Drosophila melanogaster: one gene and its partners. The protein of the gene in region 1 interacts with the protein of each later gene in a pairwise test. Each region holds a gene or a part of one and is shown in the gene's direction. Other genes may lie near its edges.

Region 1 (5,437 bases):
GAGATGGCGCTTAAGGAGCGCGAGGAGAAGCAACTGACGCCCGTGATCACTAAACGGAAGAAAAGGGATGTCACCGTAAGTACAAGTATTATTATGATGTAGTAGTTCCTCCTGGAAAGTACTAAGTTCATAAATCTCGAATGGAAATATATATACGATTTTATTATAAATATCTTTCTTACAGCAAGCGCAAAACTTCGAATCATATCAGATCACGAATAAAACCCCTGTACGCCGAAACTCTACCTTGTCGGATATATCGTTCAACTCCGATGAGTTGACCCGGGTGGAAAACTTTATAAGCGGAAACACCGAGGACCGCATTATACGCATCATGGCCAACGAATTCAGAAAGTCGCACATAATGTCCGAAGAAGGATTGCTGTAAGTATTCATTTAGCCGAATAAGACCATCATCATCGTAATGATATCATCTTTTCACATGGCACTTCAGACCCATTCACGAGGAAATACTGCACGGCGATGTTTACGGCGTTAAGCGTCAGATATTTGTGTGCTGCCACGCGAAAATGGACATCAACGAACTACTCACCAGGGACGGCGAGGACTGCCTGGAACTTGCGCTGACGAACGACACGGACACCGAGATTGTATCGCTCATCCTGGACGCTCGCATGATGACCGACCACCTCTACGAGAACTCAAACACAGCTCTTCATCTGGCGGTGATAAACCATATAAATATAGAGTCCATTAGGCTGCTGTTGCGCAGAATCGATTTGAACAGTCTTCTGCTAACCAACGATGATGGTTATACAGTTTTGCACCTGGCAGTGCGCAATAACCAGTTCCTTGTTGTCGAGGCAATCCTTGATAGTATAGACGAGCGCGAGCTGGGGGAAACGGTGTACAGGAGAACCCTGGAGGCAGCGAATCCGAATGAGTGGGACGAGAAGGGCTTCGCCAAGTACTACGATCGTGCCTGCGAACGGCTGGAGCTGAACAAGACGTTGCTAAAGAACCGTGCACATAAGCGGGATGTCATCAATGCATCCGAGGCGAGGGGCGGAAACCCACCGCTTTTCTACGCCGTGGAAGGGGAGCAGGGTAGGTTGCTGTCTATTAGTATATTAGTAGTTGAAGAAGTCCGATTAAGCTTTAAAGTTTCCTATTTGTACAGAACACTTGTGCTACTTCCTGCTTGCGCACTTGGCCGATCCCGACGAGGAGAACTTAAGCGGGCATTCCCCGAAATCGTATCACTACGAATACGCTCGCACGTTGCGCATCAACCTGAAAGTGGCGCGCGTCATGGAGAAAGTAATTAGCATACTGAATACTTGACATAAAGTGTGCATTCTGTAAATATATTTAGCCCCAACTGAGTTCAAAGTCGGTTTGCTTGAGTTTTTCCGGGTTAATGGGTTGCAAGGAAGGGGGTAATCCCTTTCGCAGATGAGTTTTCCAGGGCCATCTCTTGCATTTGTTGGTTTTCTTTCGGGATTTTCTCTTCTTTCTAGCGAGAACTGAAAGTTTTCAAGAAGAAGTTATTTTTCGTTTTAAATCTGCGTTTTATCACGCACCCAACTTCTCCAGTTCCCGTAGATTATCGCCACTATAGTGGGTAAACTTGCAATATGTTTCAAACTTGCAGTAACTGCCAAAGTATCGCTTGCAAGGAGTTTTCTGCCGCTCTTCAGTCAAAATCTTTTTGGGATCTACAAATATTGAAAATTCAGCTTTTTCGGGAATATCGTGCAACAAAAGCTTTACCCTCGTAACGCTTCAAATAGTTGCTCTTTGCAATTGCGTGTGCAATACCACCATTGTGCAATTTCCTCACATTCAGATCGTTTTTCAGAAAGCAACAGCAGTAGTCGCAATAATAACTTTTGCCACCCATTTAAATGTAAACAAAATAATACAATACTTTTAAGCGTAGAGATGGCAAATGTTATCAAGCCGTTCTCGATAGTTTTCCGGAGCATCGATAACTTTACCAACACTACCACCTTCATGAACCTTTTTGATATCGAACATTTTGAAAACAAATTATTATCGTACAATAATTGTCTGTATTCGACCTATTTAAAAATTAGATATACAATTTTTAAGGACATTACATATTCCGAATACCCAGAATTTTTTTATTTTTAAATTTATAAATTTGGCCGTTAGAATATTCAGAAACTATCGTCTATTGACCTCAAACCCATCGGATCGGTCCACCACTATCTGAGTGTGCGATTTTTTCGCACCGAATGGCAAAATCGCTGACAGCCGGCAAACAAAGTAACATTTCTTGACCGCAGCTGCTTGAACGGGATAACAGGAAGATCAGGACACCAAGCATGGAGCCATCGTTGGACAACTACAAGCTGAGCTGCGAGCTCCTGGGCCACAGCATGGATGTGCGGGCGGTAGCGGTGGGACCTCCAACTCCGGAAGGTCGCCAGACCATTCTGTCCGGTTCGCGGGACAAGAGCACCAAAGTCTGGAAGCCCCATGGGTGAGATTTGGCTGGGTCTGGTCGCTATGAATTACATACATACTAAACTGCCTTCGATCCTCATAGGAACGAGTACTTGGAAAGCCTTACTTTGCAGGACCACAAGAACTTCATCTCGTACATCTGCTTCCTGGAGTCGGAGCGGTGGATCTGCACGGCCAGCAACGACGCCACCATCTGCATCTACAAGCAGGACGGCTTTGTGCCCCTGTTGACCCTCAAGGGTCACGAGTCCACGGTGTGTGCTCTCTCGGCAGGATTGGAGCCACGAAGCCTCATCAGCGGCAGCTGGGACAAGACCGCTCGGGTGTGGACCATCAGCGAGGCGGGTGATGTGTCCTTCGTTGCTTTAGAGGGACACGAGGCGGCGGTTTGGGCGGTGGCCACCTTGAAGGAGCAGCGGAAGTATGTGACTGGTGGTGCGGACAGGAACATCTACTACTGGAACGCGAAAGGCGAGAAGCTGCGCCTGCTTAAGGGTCACACGGATTGCGTGAGGGGTGTCATGGGACTGGATGCGAACACACTGCTCTCCTGCGGAAATGACGCTGTTCTCCGCTTCTGGAACGAGGATGGTGAGTGCGTGCGCGAGATGAACGGACACAGCAACTACATCTACTCCATGGCTCGCAATGAGGCTCTGGGCGACCAAGTGGTGGTCTCCTGCGGCGAGGACAGCACGTTGCGCATGTGGAATGTGATCACCGGCGATGAGCTGGGAGCACCCATCATCCATCCCGGCATTTCAGTGTGGTCCGTAACGTGCCTACAGAACGGGGACATTGTCACCGGCTGTAGCGATGGTGTGGTGAGGGTATTCAGCCACGTTCCTGCTCGCCAAGCAAGTGAAGCAGTCCTTAAAGCCTTCGACTTAGTAGTGGCAACTAGAAAGTCTCAGATTAATGAGGAGATTGGTGGCGTCAAGAAAACTGAGTATGCTACAAGTGGATCTGTCTTATAGAACTAAACATATGGTTATCCTTCTTCAGCCTTCCAGGTCCGGAGGCTCTTCTGTCCAATGGAACGCGCGAGGGTCAAACGAAGATGGTGCGCCATGCCGATGGTTCCGTGAAGTGCTACACCTGGACGCTGGGTAACTGGAACTTGGTAGGCGATGTAACTGGCGCAACTGGAGGAACCCAGTCGAACTCCGGCAAGAAACTGCACGAGGGCAAGGAGTACGACTTTGTGTTCAGCGTGGACATTTCCGACACGGAGCCACCTATCAAGTTGCCCTACAACCGCAGCGACGATCCGTGGCAGGCGGCCCAGACCTTCATCCATCGCCATAGCCTTCCACAGGCCTACCTCGACCAGGTGGCCAACTTTATTATAAAGAACTCGGAAGGCCCCGTGCTGATGGAGCAGGCGCCAACCGGCTATCAGGATCCATTTACTGGTGGCTCCCGCTATGTTCCTGGATCGAGCAACACCAATATGGGAAGCGGCGGCAATGTGGATCCCTTCACTGGAGCCTCGAGTTACTCCACAGCGAGTAGCAATGCTCAGTCGCAGGTGGATGTAAACTTTGTGCGGTCTGGCGACAAACACTTTCCCGTCAGCAACTACCGCATCTTCGACACCTGTGATGCCAAGAAGGTGCTAGAGAAAATGATGTGGGTTTAGATATTTTCTCAGCTAATCCCCAACTAATCCCTACATCTCTTTGGCAGAGAGTTCAATGGCAAACTAAGCCTACCTGATGGAAGAGTGGGAGAGGAGGTCTTGTTGGCCGTAATCAAACTCGCCGATCAATCGCCTGAGCTCGATCTGACCTCCCTGGAAGCTCTGGCCATCCTGCTGAAGTGGCCGGCGTCCATGCAGTTCCCCGTGCTGGACATCCTTCGCCTGGCCGTGCGAAATGAAGCCATCTTCAGTGTCCTGAACAACAGTCACAACTTCCTGGCGACCGTTATCCCTCAATTGAGCGGCTCGGCACCCAACCAGCTCATGGTGGTGCGCTGCCTGGCCAACATCATGAGCCACGCCGCCGGCCGGCAAAATGTGATGTCCCGTCTGGCGGAGATCATCGATCTCGTGGGAGCCATCAAGACGGGCAGTGCCAATCTGCAAATTGCCGTGGCCACCTTCTATTTGAACCTCACAATCTCCCAGACTCTGGACGTGGCGAAGTCGGAGGTGTGTCATGTGGTCACCTCCGGTATTGTGGAGCTGCTCAAGTGGGCCAAGGACTTGGAAGCGTGCTACCGTTCCATGCAGGCCATCGGCAACCTGACCACCACTTCGTGCGGCCAAGAGACCATTGCGCAGGTGGTGTCCGTGGACTATGTGATGGACAAGTTGAGGGAACTTACCATTACTCCGCAGGACAAGAACTTCAGCAAGGTGAATTCTGTGGGCCAGGCCCTGCTGGCTGTGTTCTAAGATCTCCGCCAAGCAACTTCTTATGATCATTCTAAATTATACATATATTGGAGAACTTTTTTTCTAAATACACACAAACGCTATTCTTTCTTGGAATGCTGATGACTCTCGCGCGACGACGACGTTGAGGGTTCGGGTGGATGGTGCCGGTTGTTAATCCGGTCCAGCAGCTCATGCTTCCAATGCTCCTCGGGCACTCCTCTGGCCCAATCCGGCACTGTGATGTTGGGTAACGTTATAGTGGACATCGCTTTGAGTATCTGGAGTGTCGGGATGAAAGTTGCTGGCATGTCTCGCAATTGTAAATCGGAATGTCTTACCTGTTCCGTTCGAGTTTTGTCAAGATCCATTTGGAGTTCCCTGGGTCTTGGTTCACTCCAGACTTGTCTCTCGATTTCCACGTCAGCGGGCTCAATGGCAGGCATGTTGGGGTCTCCGTGGGTGACTGGGGCAGTCATCAGGTCAACATCTTCGTCATTATCCGCGGACGGGGTCTCCTGCTCCCTGGACATCTCCTCGGGATCCGCTGCATCGTTCTCCTCATCCAAAGCGAGTGGTTGGTAGCCGTCGTATGCATCCGAA
Region 2 (7,065 bases), on another chromosome or scaffold:
GTGTAAACCCACCGTATCTAACATCACTAAATTACTAAGTTGTAAGCCTACTTTCATAGCCAAGAAGAATAAATTAATCTATAAGTACATTGAACTTTCCATTATGCAGTTCTCAAGTATCACTTTCCAAACCGACAGATTCGCATTGTGGAATAGTTTCAGCGTCGATGCATGACCACCAAGGCCAAAATTCTGTAGCCAAAAGTCCCTCAAACTGAACTCTCGGCCAACGACCAAGCTGATCGCAGTGGAAAATCCGAAAACCAATACGATTCCAATTATCAGAATCGGAGTTATTACGGTTGACCTCATCCGAAGGGCGTGAATGAGCATTGACCACGGTCCAGGTCGGCAATGAACCTCAAAGAAGTGGAAAGCACCACTGGCATCGCACATGACTAGGCGGACCATCAACCAATTTTAAGGTTAATGACTGTGTTTACGCAGAATAAATGTGAACCCCTGGCAAAAAAAGCGGCTGACTGACTAATTTAAATTGATAGCAAAACGGCAATCACAAATCAGACGAGATGTGGGATGAGTAATCGCGGCGATAGGCAAAAAAGAGCCAAATAGTTTTGTTTTGTTTTGTTCTCTTGTTGTTAACTTGCACTAAATACATACGTTTGCAGAGCGTTTATATTGGGATTTAAAAATATTGCGTATACGCCGGCTGGGTTACGCACGAACGAGCAAACCGAGCAGCCGCTGATGGGCGCCCGATTAAGCTCCATTAAAAAAGCGTTTTATGCTTTAAAATTGCAAACATTCGGCGGCAAACTCTATAAAATCAGTTAATGCCGGGGTTTTTGCATTCAGTCAACGTTCGAGGATTACACACGATAAACATGGCCAGAAAAATCATGTCAGTGAAACAGTCGAGCCGCTCTCCATGTTGTTGGTTCGGTTTGCTCCTGGTCGCCATTTTCCTGCAGCCATCCGCGAGCCAATACTACGGTTATCCCTATTACGGCGGCGCTAATGCGGGAGCGGGATCGGGATACGGGAACATATACGGCAGCGGCATGTACGGATACCCCTACAGCTACGGCGGATATCCGTACTACTCGTATCCCGGCTACAACCCGTACTCGATGTACGGTGGATACGGGCAGTACGGATACCCCTATGGAGGATATCCCTACGGCGGCAATGGCATGAGTGAGTTTCCCGACTGATAGCACCTCGGTGCCTAGCACACAAGTAATCTACAAGTGTTTTGGACCTGTTTCTTCCTCTAGACGTGGCCTACGCCAGCAGCAGTGGAGGATTCGCAACAGCCAGTGCGGGTGGAAGCGGATACTACGGCTAGGAAGCGCGAAACCTGATATAGTTTAGTGATAGGTATACGGTTAAGTCATCCTACCCCATAAGTGTGTTAGTGCTAATAAATATGATATTTATGTTCTATAAGTCAAGACTTATTCTTATGACGTGTCCAAAACTAGTGTACCTGGTAAAAAATTGTACACCTAACTAGTGCCTTCATGTATACCACCATAATTTTATTAGCTCCCGGAACTGATGTGATAATTTGTATGTCTTTTAGCACATTTGACCCTATGTATGTTCCGCCAAGTTTATGCTGCCATGACTCTTTGTGGGATCATTAGATCCTTTTCTCAGCTTTTAGCTTTGAGTCAATAACTACGTACGCATATCTGGTCGTTTTAATAGTTATAAAAAAGCCTTGAGGCTGTGATCCCATATATAACCATATACCGAAAAATATTTTTTGCTTCGTGATAACAAATCGACAAAGTTTGATCCATGTGCATTCTTGGCGCCTTATCGATAGCTATGGACAGTGTTGTAAGGTGCACGATAGTAAGGGGGGCAAAATTGTATCGGTCTGCCGATAGTTCCCGGCCGTTAGCCAAGTCCAAATTCGACCGACCGACCAATAGTCTCGCAAAACACAAAACAAAGGCACACCACACTTCGTGCTCTCGCCGAATTCCGCCGCCGTCGCCTGAAACTCACACAAAGTAAGCCCGAAATCAGTGGAAAAGCGCCGAATAGTCGAATTGCAGGTTCAAATGGGATGGACGGCGACTTAAAAGGCGGAGGCCAATAGGCGGCATAAAAACATTGTATTGCGTAATTGGGGCCAATAAGAAAAGCAAAAAAACAAAGCCAACCGACTGCATTCTATTGCGCCTGTGTGTGTGCTTGTGTATCTACAGCTGAGCAGTAAATAAATTTGTTTTACATTTGGCCTCCAAAGGCAATTTCTCGGTGTTCCCGCTCCCTGCGTTTCCATAAACTTCCTCTCCTTTCGCATTAATATCAATGTCTTTAGTTCATCGTTACATATTATTAAGCACTTAACAAGCAGTGAGTGGAAAGAGGAAGACAAATAGCCAAAGTATGCTTACGTTAAAAGAGCTTGTTCCACATATTCGCCACCTTTCTCCCGCACTCTTCCTCTCCCACTCTATCAGCCATCTCTATCCCTCTCACAGGGGCTGCTCACGCGCACCGTGGGGTGTTTTTTCGATTCTCTACCATTTTCGCTGCTATTGCACCCCTTCCCCAGCATTTGTGCCGCTTAATTTCATAAATCAAGGCAGCGTCAGTTAAAAAACACAAGAACTACATACGTATGTACTTCTGCCCACATCCCCTTCAGCCACCTTCTCTTCATCTTTCTGGTTTCGGCAATGGGAAATTTCCGTAGCCACCGCACAGTGGAAAGAGACAACAGCACGCAATTTAAATTACAAGATTGCAATCTCGCTTTTTGGGCAGTTGGTTAAATTTTCATCGAGACACAAGCTGAGCCAAATAAACATTCACTTTTTAAACGAACAGTGCACACGAATTGGGTAGCAATGCCTTGTTCTAAACATAGTGTAAAATGTTTTTAAGATAATTTTTATTTTTTAGTCCAGCGTTCAAGGCACTCGACAAATAAAACAGCATTCATAAATTTACTAATTTGCGATTAACTAGATTGTGCCAGCTTTGACACGCTCTCATCCCACTGTGCGCTTCGTAGACAGAACAGCTGATGCTCGTCAAATTTTAGCTTCTGCTTGTGCAAAAAGCGCTCTGAGTGCGCTTGTGTGTGAGTGCGTGTGTGAGCATGGGAAAGGGAACGTGGTTATCGATAATAAAGTAAACTGAAAATAAATCAGTCATCCGCTCGGTTGACCAACTGCCCAAGTTAGTGCACCTTCTAGAATTTCTTGCAAGTGCACATTCTTTTGGTTCGCAGTGTTTCTGTTTTGCGCCTTATCTGGGGGGTGTGTCGTCGTCGGGAGCTTCACGTTTGGCTGGTTATCAAAATCACGCGACTTGACGCGGACCCCCAGTGAATTGCCAAGGTTGCTGATAAATGAATACTAATCAAACGTTTGCTCTTTTCGCGGGCCTATCGCTCAGATAGCAAAATTCTAGGTGGTACGAGCCGACGACGACGAAGAATCTGAGAGACCGCTTATATAATCCGGCAGCGAACGAGACAGGCCCCAAATCCCGACAAGATGTTGCGAATGATGCGAAGTTCCTCCTCCAGATGCTCTAGTCTTCAGCAGAGCTTGTTGAAAAGGTATGCCTGAGGTTATATCCTTATATTTCATAATTTACAACTGACACAATATGTATAAGTAACCATATTATGCATACACTAGCTAGTAGTTTATTAGTTTTATTACATTGAACGCGCTTCATTTTTATCAGTTCGACACGCTGTCTGGGTTCCGTTATACCGGACCTTAAACTGAAGGACTTCCCGATCGCCAATGAGCCAATCCTGGGATATCTCAAGGACTCTAAGGAGCGTAAGGCCCTCGAGCAGGCTCTAAAGGGCACGGCCTCGAGTTGCGAAGACATCCCCATCGTGATCGGCGGCAAGGAGTACAAGACGCCGGAGGTTCGATACCAGGTCATGCCCCATGACCACCAACACAAGCTGGCCAGCTTCTACTACGCCGACAAGAAGCTTATCGAGAAGGCCATCAAAACGGCGGTGGAAACACAGCCCAAGTGGGACCGTGTGTCGATTGCAGACCGTCTGAAGATCTGGGAGAAGGCAGCGGACCTAATGGCAACGACGTACCGCCAGGATCTCAACGCCGCCACCATGCTGGGTCAGTCAAAGACGGCGATTCAGGCGGAAATCGATTCAGCAGCGGAGCTTATCGACTTTATACGGTGAGTGTCCCCATAATTTATTACAAGGAACATGCAGAACCAGAACACAATCTGTTCCAATCGATTTTTTTTAAAGGATTTTCCCAATGGAAGAAGCAATCATTTCCTCATTATGATATTCAATATAAATACAAATTCTATTTCGCAGAATGAATGCCTATTTTCTGAAGGAGGTCACTAAATACCAGCCCATCAGCGAGAACATAAAGGTCACGAAGAACTCCTTGCGCTATCGTGGCATTGATGGCTTCATCGCCGCTGTCAGCCCCTTTAACTTTACGGCCATCGGCGGCAACTTGTCCTACACGCCAGCTCTGATGGTAAGACTAGCCAATGGCTGGAAATACCAATTAACTAAGCAACCGCCTTCGATTTTCGCAGGGAAACGGCGTGCTGTGGAAGCCCTCGGACACTGCCATGCTGTCCAACTGGATTATTTTCAAGATTATGCGCGAAGCGGGAGTGCCCGATGGAGTCGTTAACTTTGTGCCCGCCGATGGGCCCGTGTTTGGAGACACGATTACGGCCAGTCCCCACCTGGCAGGCATCAATTTCACCGGCTCTGTGCCGTAAGTAATTGTCGGTCTATTGATTTTCCCGTTCAATACCATTTCCTCCGACGACAGAACCTTTAACCGCCTGTGGAAGCAGGTGGGCAACAACATTGACAACTACGTGAACTTTCCTCGCTTGACTGGTGAGTGTGGCGGCAAGAATTTCCACTTTATACATGCATCAGCCGACGTTGAGTCAGTGGTGACCTCCACGATACGCTCAGCATTTGAGTACTGCGGCCAGAAGTGTTCCGCCTGCTCGCGAATGTATGTGCCGGAATCCCTTTGGCCACAGGTAAGTTTAAAAAGCATCAGATTGCGATGTTTTCGCAACGCTGACCTGTTTAACCCCTAACCCGCAGATCAAGGAGGGCCTGGTATGCGAGGCAGCAAAGCTGAAGATCGGTGACGTTCAAGACTTCAGCAGCTTCACGTCGGCTGTGATTGATGACAAAGCATTTAAACGCATTACGGGCTACATTGAGCATGCCAAAAAATCCCCGAACCTCGAGATTCTCGCCGGAGGCACTTACTCAGACAGCAAGGGCTACTTCGTTAATCCGACCATTGTACTCAGCAAGGATCCCAAGGACCGGATCATGACCGAAGAGATTTTCGGTCCCGTGCTATCTATTTATGTGTACAAGGAGTCGGACCTCCTTGAGACCATGAAACTGGTGCACACCTCTACCAAGTTTGCTTTAACCGGAGCAGTATTCGGGCAGGACGAGTAAGAGACTTCTATACAAAGGGTTATCTTTAGTTCATAACGTATGCTTCCAGGGATTTCGTCAAGTGCGCTCTGCAGGAGTTTAAAATGGCCGCTGGAAACTTCTACATCAACGACAAGTCCACTGGATCCGTGGTGGGCCAGCAGCCATTCGGAGGCGGCCGGATGTCCGGCACCAATGACAAGGCCGGAGGACCACATTATATTCTGCGCTGGACCTCTCCGCAGTCCATCAAGGAGACCTTTGTGCCGCTGCGGGACGTCAACTATCCATACATGTGCGAGTAAGCTGGCCGACAGAAGATGCGCAAGGGGAATGGGATGAGCAAAAGTAGTGAAAACCAGACAGGAATCTCATATAACTACTAACTATATAAACATACTTAAATGTATTTTGTTGAAATACTTTTAAACATCTCCAACACCCAAAGACCTGCCCCGTAACCCTACATACCTAGTTCAGATAGCTTCGATTTGTATACACACACACTCTAAGAATCTCAAAACAACCCATGAGAATGCCTCGAAAGTTTGTAAATTGATATGCTGATACCTTCGAACTACAAACACACCATGACATGGATATTTTAAATGAATACTATGTAATATCATTATTTTACGATTTAAACGCAATGTGATTATTTAATTATATATGATTTATAATTAAATGGCCCGCCTTATGTTTTATTCGTTATCGAAATTGCTTGAATTGGTTGAACCGTTTTCAATTATAAAATACTTAATGTACACACCTATGTATGTGAAATCAAACGACAATACATTCTGAATACTAAATGTGAAAGATCATGAAGAGATAAAGTGAAACCTAGTTACATGTAACGTAAGCATCAAATTCATATTAATAAATATAACAAAGAATTAAAAAGAATTATTTGGGTTCCGTTTTCAACATTTCGTTTAACCCAAAATGCTATCCGCATCGATTGGGGCAGTTCCTTTACCCGAAATAAGATGAGTTCTTAGAGATTAGAAACCCGTAGAATTTAAACTTCAAAACTTGATGGTCTGAAGAGAACATGCAAAGGTTTAGTTTCATTTGATTCAAATTTGTAATCAAACTACAAACAATTCTGTTATTAAAAAATACATGTATTTCTTTCCGTGTTTTCTTAGTTCAATTAAATACATTGTCCAATGTGACAAAACAAATTAATCTTTTACATATTGAAGTTGTCATAAGCATTCATAAACCGGCTATCACCACAAGTTAGCGGAAAATTCAACCCTTCATTTAACCCAAGCGTCTGAAAAATACCTTGGCTTACTCTTTATGAACCTTATAAATATATATAATATACAATAGAAATGTATAGGGGTTTAACTCTTAAAGGCTTATAAAAAATCCACGAAACGCATTCGGGTTTCATTCCGTCCGATCAGGAAAAAAAAAGGGTTTAATCCGCTAAAGTCATAATAACCATTTGCTTGGTCACGGGTTTGTCGACCGCCAATTTGCATTCGAATAATTCACATTAAAACGGAAGTACGGACTTCCCGAAGTCAATCAAGAGTTTGGAAAGAATTTACATGTTGGCGGAACTATTGCGTAAGGCAAATATTTTACTTAAACTAGTTAGTTATATCCGTTAGAATAAGGATTAT
Region 3 (4,577 bases), on another chromosome or scaffold:
TTAGATTTCAACACAATGGGCAGTTTCGATTTCAAAGCCGGCAAGAGAACCCGAGCACGTAGATCGGGTCGGGAATGGTTATGGGTAAATGGGTATATCTCTCTGCGACGTTGATGCGCACCTTCGATAAGGATGAGACCGACCGGCGAACACACCTCAAAACGTTATGAAATGCGGAGGGAACGAGAAGAGAAAACGCAAGAGAAAAGCCAATAGAATGGAAAAATAAGGAGATGGCACAAAAACAGGAAAGAGTTGACACGGCTAATCCTGACGAATTGTTGTTAGCTGTCTTGGTTCATTCAACAATTTGGTCGGAACAAGAGTTCGTTCTCCTCCATAAGAATGATTTATAATTTCACGTGCTTTATTCTTGGACCTTACAAACGTCTTCGGTTTTAATATTTATTAACTAAGCACCACCAATTAGCTGCAACTAATTAACTGCCAGTTAGAGGTGTTTATATGATTTTTTTCCTCTTATCTTATACTCCTACAAATTATTAATGGTATTCAAAAGGCTCATTATGCCATTAACTTTATGGTTTTCAAACTGTGGTCATATCTGTATTTTTAACTAAATTACAGACTTGAAGGATTTTAAATTAAAAGTTTAGCTATCTAATTAGATAATTATTCATTTACACAAATCGTAGAACTCTGCTAACCGGTTATTGAGTATTTTATTGCACTTGAAACGTAAGTTGCTTTAAATCATGATTATATTATGATTAGTAATATATAATTTGTTCTTCTGACTAGGAACATTAGTTTTGTTTTAGTAGGTTACAAAAGTAAAGTGATTAAATAGTCCACAGCTCACTTGTGAGTTTTTCATTATCATTATATACAGTTAGTTTGTCTCGCTTTCGTTTTGGTTCACACAATTTTATGGGTGAAAAAGTGTTAAGCCAATGCAGGCGCTAATCAAATTGAGACAACGAAAGTGTTAAGTCGACTTCCAGGAATCGGGCTATTAAATGAGCGTTGGGCCATAAATCTGCAGATAAGACAATGCCCCACTGATAAGAACTAAGGGAGATGCCAGTCGATAAAGCCTGAAAGAGGCTGCACAAAGATGAGGCCCGGGTCATAAAATCAGAAACCCAAACACACTAAATAAGCCATAGAGAAGACTAACATGGGATTTTATCACCGCTTGTTAGTGTAAATTTACAAACACATTCGAATGGGTGTGTAAGAGCTACAAATACATCCATATGCTTGGAGTTTTTCCAACTGTTTTTACTTTCAATAAACAATTCTAGGGGATTTCCTCTCGAACTGCAACATGCTTGAGGTCGTTTGAGATCGCTCCGATCGGCTCGAATTGAGCTGTTGGCGCAGTTTGAGCGCAACATGTTGCTCTCTTCATAATTCTTGCTGTTAGCTCGCTCTGTTAACCGGTAATCGCGGGTCTCGCGCATGTTAACTCCATGTGAACAGCAAGCGAACGTTTTGAGTTCCCATAGAAATAGCGTCTGTTAACCGCTAAAACGCTGTATCTTAACATTTCCATTGAAAACAAAGCGGGTAAGCAGGGTGATCCAACCACGAGTTTGTTGGATACAACAGTTGGGTTTCCACCTCGACCGGGAAAAGTCGGGCAAATTTAAAGCGCTCCTCTGTTATTCAAATTTTTTAAAAACATACTGAATCCAAAAAACCGTTGTTTATTGGCAGTTCTCAGGTTTTTACGAAAAAGGTGAACATTGAATTTAGGATCCGAAAAAACGTGCGGGTCAAGAGATGTAAATATATTGCAAAATACTGCATCAAGTGTTAATAATCATTTTCAGAAACATAAGCTAAAAAACTGTGAGTGCGTGACATCGTGTGTTTTGGATACGTTTTATGAATGAGCGCGGGTGTGAACGAATTTTTCGGAGTCAACAACAAATAACGAACGCGATAAACAGAGGCACACTCACACAACCGCGATTAAAAAGGCACTCTCCATTAAACAATAAAGAAATCTCTTGTTTTTCGAAAAGCAAATAGAAAATACGAAAATGTAGCGCGGAAATTGCAGTGCCAAAGAAAACAAACGCATCGTTTGTTGGGCTTGAATTTCGCACGGTTTTAACACTTCCCATAATAAAAAATAAACATCTTTCGAAACCAGAAAAGTAAAAATAAAAACTGCGTGCAGAAAAATATATAAAATTAAATAGTGCATAAAAATCGGTTTTCTTTGCGGTTCGGTTCCGTTTTTGTTTATTTGTAGTGTGCGTGTGTTTCTGTTTCCCCCTTTCTATCTCTATCCCTGTCTCTTTCTCTGCCTCACCGCCCGTCTCTTTCTCTCTTTCGAGTAAGAGAACGCGTGCTTTTGTTTTCGATTACGTTTACTACATTTTTTGTACGCCCCATAGAAAAAAACATGACGAAATGTTGTTGTTGAAAACGAGAAATAAATACAAGTGATTCAGAAAAATAAAAAAATAAACGAAACAACGAAAATAAAAGAGAAATTACACATCTGATTTATACGAAAAGAAAAGTTCTGTGAAGCAATATACGAAAGTAAAATTCTATTTGGTGTTTATAGAATCTCCGATGGTGTTGTGAAATCAAAGAAATAAAGAAAACCCAAAGCTACAGATACTCTCTTCGCGAGCAGCAACCGCAAACGCATCTAAAAAGGTAAATAGAGCTTCGGGACCCCATGTCGCTTATCTTCGGGGTAGGATAAACAATCCATCCAGCTTATCTGCAGGTCCATAAAGATCTGCAGATCTCGAGAAATCCAGACGTCGCTTGTTTATGGGTGGCTTCGGGGCTTCCTAGAACGAAACGTCAGAGTTTTAGATACATCTTGTGATTGTCGCCGGGTTTGCCACTTACTTTCACTCCCCAAAATTTACCTGAGTTTCTCGGTTTTCTAGTCTTTGACTTTGTGGTACAACTTTATCTTGTCAGCTGCGAACTGAAAAAGATAGTGATAACCTAAATAGTATATGTTTACAGTTAGTTAGTCGCTGGCATAATCTACGCGACGCGTTCGAGTTATCTGCGATCGTTTTTATTGGCCTTATACGAGTTCTGATCGGCTTTCTTTACCATTTCCGCTGCTGTTTGAATTGTCAGCGCTTTATTTTGATTCATAAATCATAATCGCTATGTATTGTAGTTTGTTTACACTCTGGTCGAGTGCTGCTTTTTCCCTCCAGCGTTTGTTTTTAATTCATGGGAATAATCACCGAAAAGTGCACAAACAATCCGAATCCGATTTGCATACTTATTGAGAACTCAGCCAAATGGCAGGCGTAGCATTTCCGGTTCTAAAATGCGTCATCGGAGTATGTCGATCGTTTTAACCCCCGAGAAACTGAAACTGGCGACCCGTTTTGTCTACCATAACAACAACTCTTGATACGGCCCGCCCTTTATTATTTTACAGCATAGCCACCTTATATATAGAAACTCGTTTTTCGTTGTTTCTGCCTTTGTTGTTTATACTCCACATACGTACCGATAAGTATGTAAATAAGTTCACAGCGAAACACTTGTGCTGGGTGCTTGATAAAATAGCAAATTTCAGGTAAATAAAACTGAAACAATATTTCGACTGGCCTGGCGTTCTTCATCTTCTGGTTGGGAAAGACCCAAAAAAATTGATAATTCAATGTTTATAAGTTACATGCAGTTAGGATTTTTAATATTATTTCATTTATTTAGATATGAAATTCAAAACATAAACAAAATAAACAAGACATCTCCCATCCTAAAACATCTTCCGTAAAAAACTCGCTTCTGATTTTTAATTAAACAAAACCATGTTACACCCAATCCAGCAGCTTAGAAGCAAATCTCTGCCCAGATTTTCCCTGATTTAGTAAAATCGCTTTCCCCTTGTTCGGCAGCTCGCAAACATTTATCAGGCGGGGCAGGTTCATCAATTTCGTGTGTGATAAATGTCGTACAAGAATTTACACAAATATGTATGCATGTCTCTATGTCTCTGCTCCAGCTGCCGGGTACAAGCTGAGTTGACAAAATGATTTGTTTGGGCGCCCCATGTTTTGTCTTATTGTCGCCAACCCCTCACCAGAGCATCTTCATGATCACCGATCGCTGAGCGCCACCCTGAACTTAAGGCCAGAATCTCGAATCTCGATGCAGATCTCATCTACGGACTGGAGTAACGAAACAGCCACTAATTCCAAACAATGTAAGGCATTATTTATTTTTAACTGAGGTCATCAGCGTAGACATCGTCTATTACAAAAAACGCCCGCCTCTCTCTAGAATTTTTCATCTCATCGTGCTGGGAGCTCCGGTTCTCCGGTTCTACGATTCCCCAGTTCTCAGTGCTCCATTCTCTGTTCTCAGTTTTCCGATCGCTACACAGAAACACAATATGATCGGTTTTAAATCTGATATTATGATTAAATTCAAGCATAAGGAGGAAAATTTTGAAATCTTATAAGATCTATCTGCTCTTTTAAGTAAAAATTTCTTAATTACATAAAGACATGAATAATATTTTACTGAGCACTTCTTTTTTGTGTTATTATTATTATTGTATTAAAACATCGATTTTTTATGTGTACGGTTTTGAGTTCTATAGTGTTGTT
Region 4 (7,863 bases), on another chromosome or scaffold:
AGTAAATGTTTAGCCGAATGTGAATGTGGTATTAAGGCTAATGTGGGAACTTTTTTTGCCAGTGACTAATGGGTAATATAGTACGCAGTTTACTGCTAGTTGGATAGTATTATATTTTTTAAATAATTTAAGTTATTTCCAGTAAGTGCTATTTATTAATTATTACCCTCGATATTCTAAGTAAAAAGCTTTTCGATGTTGTCAAATGTATTTCCTAGCTCCCACAAACTTATTAACTCACCAATCCCACTCTATCGATCCAATTTGTATAATGGATCTATCAGATCGATAATTATGTTTTTGCTACTCCAGATGCCTTAATAACTTAATGCGGATCGAAGCAAATAGACGTATATGTGATGTGTTAGCTCATTATCGGGCTCGTTAGCTCAATCAAACGATTCGATCTACTAATTTGAACGGTCCGCATTAACATCGGCATTAGTTAGTTAGTTAGTTGCTAGATGCAGGCTGCAAGGATGACCGGATTGTTGGCAAGTACAAGTGCACATATGTAGATCAATGGCAAATTTGCTTCGATCTCGACATCGCCGCTAACTGAATTTGGTTAAAAGCTAACACGATTGAAAATAATGCTGCCACTGCCACTGCCACTGAAAATGTCATTCGAATTGGCGGCCCGAGTCCAATTTGAGAAGCGGCGGCAGCCTTGCCAACGTTATCAGCTTACAGGACAGGAATATATATATAATTATTTATATAGATTGCTATATGGTCGGTCTCGTAATCCGTCAGCTGCCATATGCAAATCCCAATCGCCAGATGTTTTGACGGGGCTTTCAATTATGCCATAGATATTGTAATGTGCCTGTACTTATCGCCCGGGCTTAGTTTAATGTGCTACATTTACGCATGCAAATTAGTTGTTAAATGTGCTTTTAAAATTTAATCGATATGGCTGGGTGCCACCTACTTACATCTCGGGCACGCACGCAGCCATGTGATCCGTACTTCCTGTTTACCATTACTTTGTTTTCCAGCTCACTTTCACTTGGTCCCTATACGATCCGCTTCAGCATCCGCTCTAGTTCTGACGCGATTCGATTGAGTCATTCAGGATCTAATGCGAATTGCTGGGTTCTAAAACTGAACGAGATCTTCGACTGTTGTTACACCTAGAAAAATGGAACGTATCATAAACGTAAGGTGCTTTTATTGTCTAAAACATTCTTAATAATTTTAACCTACTTCTTTAAAATAATTCTAGTGGTTAAAAACATTTCCCTAAAACAACTTACAGAGTAAGAATGTCATATATTTTCATTATTTTGCTCTGTGCACACACGGCGTATGCTTAACATTTGGCATGGACTAGCTTCGCTTTGTTTGGATTTGTTTTGGTTTTTTCTGTATGACCTGTTGAGGCTTTTCAAATGACTCCCGTTCGACTGACTGAATACTTTTGGGGTATTCTACCACCATTCCGATTGACGCGCACGCGCTAATGGTTAACCCCGCTTTTTAGCCAAGCTACAAGAGCAACAAAAACATGGCCAATGCGACGTTCTAGCCTGTTGCCGCACTTGAACTTGGTCGACCAAGTTGAGTCGAGTCAGGCCCCGCGATTCTCGACCCACTCAGCTGGCTGGCTAGCTGGTTAGCTGGCTGGTGAGAGGAAACCCCACGGCATCGGCATCTTGGCTTTAACCCAGCTACAGCTGGGCAACTACGTCACAGTCGCGTCATGCGAAAACCAGTCATCGTCGTTTGGTGAAGCAAACAATCGTCGGCAATCGGCCGAAACGTTCGTTAACTTGGCCGTCGGAATCGGAATCTGGGGGTATTTAAGCGGCGGCAACTCGACATGAAGCATGCATTGATTCGCTATCATTCGCCCTAAAGACTTGTGCCCAGCCTCAAGTAGTTTGCTGACTCTGTTTGTTGTAATACAATTTAGCTGACAAGGATAATACACATCACCACATCAGTTTCGAGTTCGCGAAAGGATCCAGCTAAAGTTCAACCGATCAACCATCTATATATCCCGCCGTGAATTCGAGAGTCGAGAGTTCTTGTCCAGCTCAATTCTAGACGCAAACAGTTCAGTACCAGGAGCGATTTTCTTGAAAAACAAAACCACCCAGCCAGATCGCCAATAAGCAGTGAAAGTGTCAACACATTTCGAGTGCTTATTGCAAATCAAACAAGAAAAGCGTAACCAAGCACATAAGCAAATAGTATTCTAAGTGTTTTTGCCAACACTTTGCGTAAATTTTTGTTGTTCACCCCAAACGAAAACAACCCAAACACACAAAAAAAAATGATGGCCGTTGCAGCAGCCCAAAAGAACCGCGAGATGTTCGCCATCAAGAAATCCTACAGTATTGAGGTGAGTCGAAAATCCAGCAAAACATACAATTTCCAAATCGAATTGTAAAAAAAAAGAAGCAAATGAGTGACTAGATTTGGTCTACGTGACTATCTAAAGGTTTTGTGTTTTCAAAAAAAAACCAGTTAACCGGCCAGTAGTCGAGCCCATTTTTGTGATCCCGCATTTCTTTTTCGCCAATTCAATTTGACCAAACTCAATCCTCGGTTGGCCATTAAGTCACACCTCTAAGAACAGGCGGCCCAAATCGAAAGGCCCAAATCGCCAACGGACACAACGGGTTGTGTGTTAAGTTATTATTTAACAAATAAGTGAAAGTGGCTGCCTTTGGGCCCCATGCACTTAGCCTGGCCGAAACAGTCGCGCCTCATTGTTGTTGACTCGTCTCTGTTTATGTTTATGCTGCGTCCGAGCAAAACAAAAAATATGAAATCAATATAAATGATTCAATGAGTTGGTCATCTTTCATCAGCCAAAGCGGTGGCCCAAAAAAAAAAACTGAAGAAAACAAACAAACAAAAAAAAAAAAAAACGAGCTGACAGTGAAAACTGCAAGTGATGGAAACCTTTTTCCCCCCATCAAGAAAAAGAAAGAAAAAAAACCTTTAACGATCGCCAGTTGCATTTTTTTCCCGCCAGAATCGCATGGGGATTTTCGATTTCTCAGTCACATATCATTTATCTTCGCACCTGCCCGCTTCGAAGCGGCGACATCGCATTAAATTACCATTCGTGGCTTTGAATCACAATCAATACAGTTCCATGAATAGCCAGCTTTATTCAAAGAAAAAGATCTGAAGACGGCGCTTTCACACACCATTTTATATAATATTTTCAAAATTGCGCAATACTCTGCTCAAAGTCACCACCCAAGCGTGGAGCCGAAGAAAGCCACCCTGGCTTGAAGGTCAAGGCAATCGTCTAATTTCCGCTCCACATCCTGCCAGTGTCACTAACACGGACTTCAATCTTTTCGCTTTCGTTTCCAGAATGGCTATCCATCCCGCCGTCGCAGCCTGGTGGATGATGCCCGTTTCGAGACCCTGGTGGTCAAGCAGACCAAACAAACCGTCCTCGAGGAGGCCCGCAGCAAGGCAAATGGTAAGTGGATAGGGTCCAACAAGTGGGTCACTAAAATAGCTCCAAAGAGGGTTTCTATTTGGGATCAAAAGGGAAATTTTGCAGCTAGGGCTTTACTTGTTGATTAAAAACTTAAAAAGTTGCAATTTTTATTTCATTTTATTCGTTTTGACATAGATTTGCGTTTTTTTCTTATTCATTTTAACCCTTTATTTATTATTTGCCTTCGTTTTTATTTTTATGATTTTAAAGACGATTCCCTGGAAGATTGCATTGTGCAGGCTCAGGAGCACATTCCCTCCGAGCAAGATGTGGAGCTCCAGGACGAGCATGCCAATCTGGAGAACCTGCCCTTGGAGGAATATGTTCCAGGTTAATATCCATTTCCATTTCAATTCCCATGCCAGTTACTCCTCTTTCTGAGCCTATTATCTTTGATTTGATTTTGATTATGATTTTCATGGGCTTTATTATTATTTTTATTTCATTCGCTTTTAGTTGAGGAGGATGTTGAGTTTGAGAGCGTTGAACAGGAGCAGTCGGAGTCGCAGTCGCAGGAGCCAGAAGGCAACCAACAGCCGACCAAGAACGGTGAGCAGGGGGTTCTAGAATCCAGCAGCCAACCATAAGTAGTACTTAACTTCTGAGAGGGGCTTTTGAAAAGCGTGCGACATTGATTTAAGTGCTTAATATGATAAAGTGCCAGGGCAGAGGAAAAGCACTCAGCCACACGGACAATTGTGAGTGGGCGCGCTCGCTCGCTCTCTCTCTCTCTCTCTCTCTCTCTGTGGAAATGTCGCATTTCCCTTTTTCATTTGTTACGCTCGACTTAATACAAGTACGAAATGCGTTTGCCTGGCAACCGTCTCACTGCCACTGCCACGTAGCTCGCTTATCGTTTACGTGACCCTAAGCCTTGGAAGATTGCATCCTTAACCATCACATTATCCCCGCTTTTTTTTGGCCCTTTTGCAGATTACGGTCTCACCGAGGACGAGATTTTGTTGGCCAATGCCGCCTCCGAATCCTCGGATGCCGAGGCTGCCATGCAGAGTGCCGCTTTGGTGGTCCGCCTCAAGGAGGGCATCTCCTCCTTGGGTCGCATCCTCAAGGCCATCGAAACCTTCCACGGCACCGTCCAGCATGTGGAGTCCCGTCAGTCGCGCGTGGAGGGCGTGGACCACGATGTCCTCATCAAGTTGGACATGACCCGTGGCAATCTGCTGCAGCTGATCCGCTCCCTCAGGCAGTCGGGCTCCTTCAGCAGCATGAATCTGATGGCCGACAATAACTTGAATGTCAAGGCTCCGTGGTTCCCCAAGCACGCCTCCGAATTGGATAACTGCAACCATCTGATGACCAAGTACGAGCCCGATTTGGACATGAACCACCCCGGATTCGCCGACAAGGTATACCGCCAGCGTCGCAAGGAAATTGCCGAGATCGCATTCGCCTACAAGTACGGAGACCCGATCCCATTCATCGACTACTCCGATGTGGAGGTCAAGACCTGGCGCTCGGTGTTCAAGACCGTTCAGGATCTGGCTCCCAAGCACGCCTGTGCCGAGTACCGGGCCGCCTTCCAGAAGCTCCAGGATGAGCAGATCTTCGTGGAGACCCGTCTGCCCCAGTTGCAGGAGATGTCCGACTTTCTGCGCAAGAACACCGGATTCTCTCTCCGTCCTGCCGCCGGTCTTTTGACTGCCCGGGACTTCCTTGCCTCCTTGGCCTTCCGCATCTTCCAGAGCACCCAGTATGTGCGCCACGTTAACTCACCATACCACACCCCCGAGCCGTAAGTATCTATCATCATATTTTACTAGGGGGTTAAAATCACTTCAAAAAGGGGAGAAAAAGGCTCTTTGTCCTAGCCTAATTGCATTTGCCTGCCTGCCTGCCGCCTGCCTCTGTGTGTGTGTGGGTGGTTGGGTTTCCTTTTCCGCTTTTCCCAAGCAACTTTTGTCGCCTGGAACACAGGCAAATTGGCTACAGGAACTGCGGCAGGCTGCCCAGCTCATTTAACCAGACTAATTGCCTTATGCCAGCACATTTTCCACACTTTTAACAAGCATTATTCTATGCCATTACAGCGACTCCATTCACGAGCTGCTGGGTCACATGCCCCTGCTGGCCGATCCCAGCTTCGCCCAGTTCTCGCAGGAGATTGGACTGGCCTCGCTGGGTGCCTCCGACGAAGAAATCGAGAAGCTGTCCACGGTGAGTTGATTTTCTAATTGAGTTGCAATGTAACGACCTTAGACTCAAGTGCAGCTATGACGCAGCTAGTTTTTTTTCGCAACCAAGATCATTGTTTAGTCACTGTCAAAGTCGAAGAGGAAAAGTGAACTTCAATGCCAGAATAATTTTTTTCTTTTTATTCATATAGTTTACAGATACAATTTAATGCATTTCAAAACACTTAATTGTGATTTTAAATAAGTTTTTAAGTTCAGAAAACCTTGATCTTATAAGTCATACAACTTCCTGCATTATCTGCCTTTGCTTTTATTTTCCTTCCTATTTACTCATTGGTTCCTTACCATTTCATTTCTACAGGTATACTGGTTCACTGTTGAGTTCGGTCTCTGCAAGGAACATGGTCAGATCAAGGCCTACGGTGCTGGACTCCTGAGCTCCTACGGTGAGCTGCTCCATGCCATCAGCGACAAGTGCGAGCACCGCGCCTTCGAGCCCGCATCCACCGCCGTGCAGCCCTACCAGGATCAGGAGTACCAGCCCATCTACTATGTGGCCGAGAGCTTCGAGGATGCCAAGGACAAGTTCCGTCGCTGGGTGAGCACCATGTCGCGTCCATTCGAGGTGCGTTTCAACCCGCACACCGAGCGCGTCGAGGTGCTGGACTCCGTCGACAAGCTGGAGACTCTGGTGCACCAGATGAACACGGAGATTTTGCATCTGACCAACGCCATCTCCAAGTTGCGACGCCCGTTCTAAGTGGATGGGGGGGAGATATATGTATGATATATAGAAGCACCCAAAAACATCGCCCAAAAAAACACCAGCCACCCCCACCACCCAAACATACACATACAGGTGCAACGGTCTCATTTATACAAATTAATTTTAAATTGACATACCGCACAATCCCTCGTACACGTAATCCTTAAACCAAAATTAAGGCATCGCGCATTATTTTTTATTTTTTGTTTATTGTTTTTTGTTTAATTTTTATTTAATTGTCATCGAAAAGTTGTAATTGTCGAATCGCGCACATGGTAAAAAACACAAAAATCAAGCATATTTATTTGTTGATCACCCGATACACCACCCAACCTGCATATTTATCACCGCAACTATTATTGGACCAAAAAATCTTTAGACGTTTAAGTGATGTGAAAACAAAGCCAAGCCAAGCCAAGCAAAGCAAAGCGAATTAAGTGAAGTGAAAAGCTGGGAAAGCAAAGTTCAGATACATCCGCACTTAGTAGGCAAAGTACCACACAAAAACCGATTGTATACTCAGACAAAAATTGTTTTTGTATTATTATTATCTTCATTTTGCCTCTCACAATATTTACCTAGACTATATAGACACGCGATATAGTATTCCCGGTATAGGAAGCTTCATTTAGAGAGAGTATTTCTAAACAAAAATGATATAGATACAACAATCGAGCAAGGAACAAATGGAAAACAAACAAAAAAAAAAACGGAAAAGATAAAAAATGAAATGGAAAACAAAACAGAATTTTCTTACATTGTACAATAACTGTAAACGACAATATTACTATTGTGTACTATTATTATTATTATCTATTATTATACTTATGACTATTACGTATTGTATTGTAGGTATGTAGAGTTTAAACATTATTATTTTATTTAAGTTTTGTGTATTAATAAAATTAAAAATGCAATTGAAAAATAATTACTCTTTGGTTTTTTCATTTGATTATCTTCTTTGGCAATTCGAAACTCTAAAGTCTGAATCTGTTTAGGGAACATTTTATGACATCAAAATGGAATATTTATTTAAAATTAATGAGTAGAATCGAGGAATATGATAAATATATTTATGGGTGAGAAGAAGTGAATCTCATGTGAACTAAAATCGAGCTATGTAGAAAATATTTCACAAATTTGATGAAATTATATAAAATAACGAAAAACCTTGGACCAATACATATGTATTATTATAAAGTAATTAAAATCAAAATATTTCAAAGTAAACAAAGTAAAACATTGGGATCAAGAATATTACATATTTATAGTTAACGTAGCATGGAATTTTATTGTTATTGTTCGATGTATTGTAGTTGCAATTGGATCGAAAGCCAACCAAGTGTTAACATTTCTGCAAGCAATTAGCCAAACTAATTACTAATTATATTCGCACATAAATCTATATATATAATCAACTTAAAGCGCAGTTGGTCCCCAAGCCAGGCTTCGTTGGTTCTGAAAAATTCAAT

The links.
Region 2: the proteins of Plap (region 1) and P5CDh1 interact in a two-hybrid assay, tested with the Drosophila melanogaster proteins (one large-scale study listed by BioGRID).
Region 3: the proteins of Plap (region 1) and cv-c interact in a two-hybrid assay, tested with the Drosophila melanogaster proteins (one large-scale study listed by BioGRID).
Region 4: the proteins of Plap (region 1) and ple interact in a two-hybrid assay, tested with the Drosophila melanogaster proteins (one large-scale study listed by BioGRID).

What each region holds. Positions count from the first base shown.
Region 1 is NT_033779.5:1,166,661-1,172,097, reverse strand, and holds Plap (phospholipase A2 activator protein), read left to right. Parts: upstream 1-1,732; 5' UTR 1,733-1,734; coding exon of another isoform or gene 1,735-1,864; 5' UTR 1,865-1,870; exon of another isoform or gene 1,871-1,917; intron 1,918-2,018; exon of another isoform or gene 2,019-2,139; 5' UTR 2,140-2,312; coding exon 2,313-2,470; intron 2,471-2,536; coding exon 2,537-3,403; intron 3,404-3,459; coding exon 3,460-4,086; intron 4,087-4,143; coding exon 4,144-4,855; 3' UTR 4,856-4,926; downstream 4,927-5,437. Other genes in the region: charon, read left to right, coding at 1-75, 185-384, 455-1,068, 1,142-1,305; CG31922 (uncharacterized protein), read right to left, coding at 1,333-1,487, 1,545-1,679, 1,735-1,864; CG14341 (uncharacterized protein), read right to left, coding at 4,936-5,115, 5,176-5,437.
Region 2 is NT_037436.4:21,836,154-21,843,218, reverse strand, and holds P5CDh1 (delta-1-Pyrroline-5-carboxylate dehydrogenase 1), read left to right. Parts: upstream 1-1,862; 5' UTR 1,863-1,988; intron 1,989-2,020; exon of another isoform or gene 2,021-2,193; intron 2,194-3,091; exon of another isoform or gene 3,092-3,168; intron 3,169-3,387; exon of another isoform or gene 3,388-3,391; 5' UTR 3,392-3,488; coding exon 3,489-3,553; intron 3,554-3,684; coding exon 3,685-4,158; intron 4,159-4,306; coding exon 4,307-4,478; intron 4,479-4,539; coding exon 4,540-4,727; intron 4,728-4,784; coding exon 4,785-5,007; intron 5,008-5,074; coding exon 5,075-5,442; intron 5,443-5,495; coding exon 5,496-5,730; 3' UTR 5,731-6,554; downstream 6,555-7,065. Other genes in the region: CG14563 (uncharacterized protein), read left to right, coding at 864-1,161, 1,242-1,312.
Region 3 is NT_033777.3:14,478,708-14,483,284, reverse strand, and holds the start of cv-c (crossveinless c), read left to right. Parts: upstream 1-1,571; 5' UTR 1,572-1,705; exon of another isoform or gene 1,706-2,372; 5' UTR 2,373-2,643; intron 2,644-4,577.
Region 4 is NT_037436.4:6,713,492-6,721,354, reverse strand, and holds the start of ple (pale), read left to right. Parts: upstream 1-1,829; 5' UTR 1,830-2,281; coding exon 2,282-2,350; intron 2,351-3,339; coding exon 3,340-3,451; intron 3,452-3,682; coding exon 3,683-3,802; intron 3,803-3,928; coding exon 3,929-4,021; intron 4,022-4,405; coding exon 4,406-5,225; intron 5,226-5,520; coding exon 5,521-5,647; intron 5,648-5,986; coding exon 5,987-6,385; 3' UTR 6,386-7,863. UniProt on the Drosophila melanogaster protein: Plays an important role in the physiology of adrenergic neurons.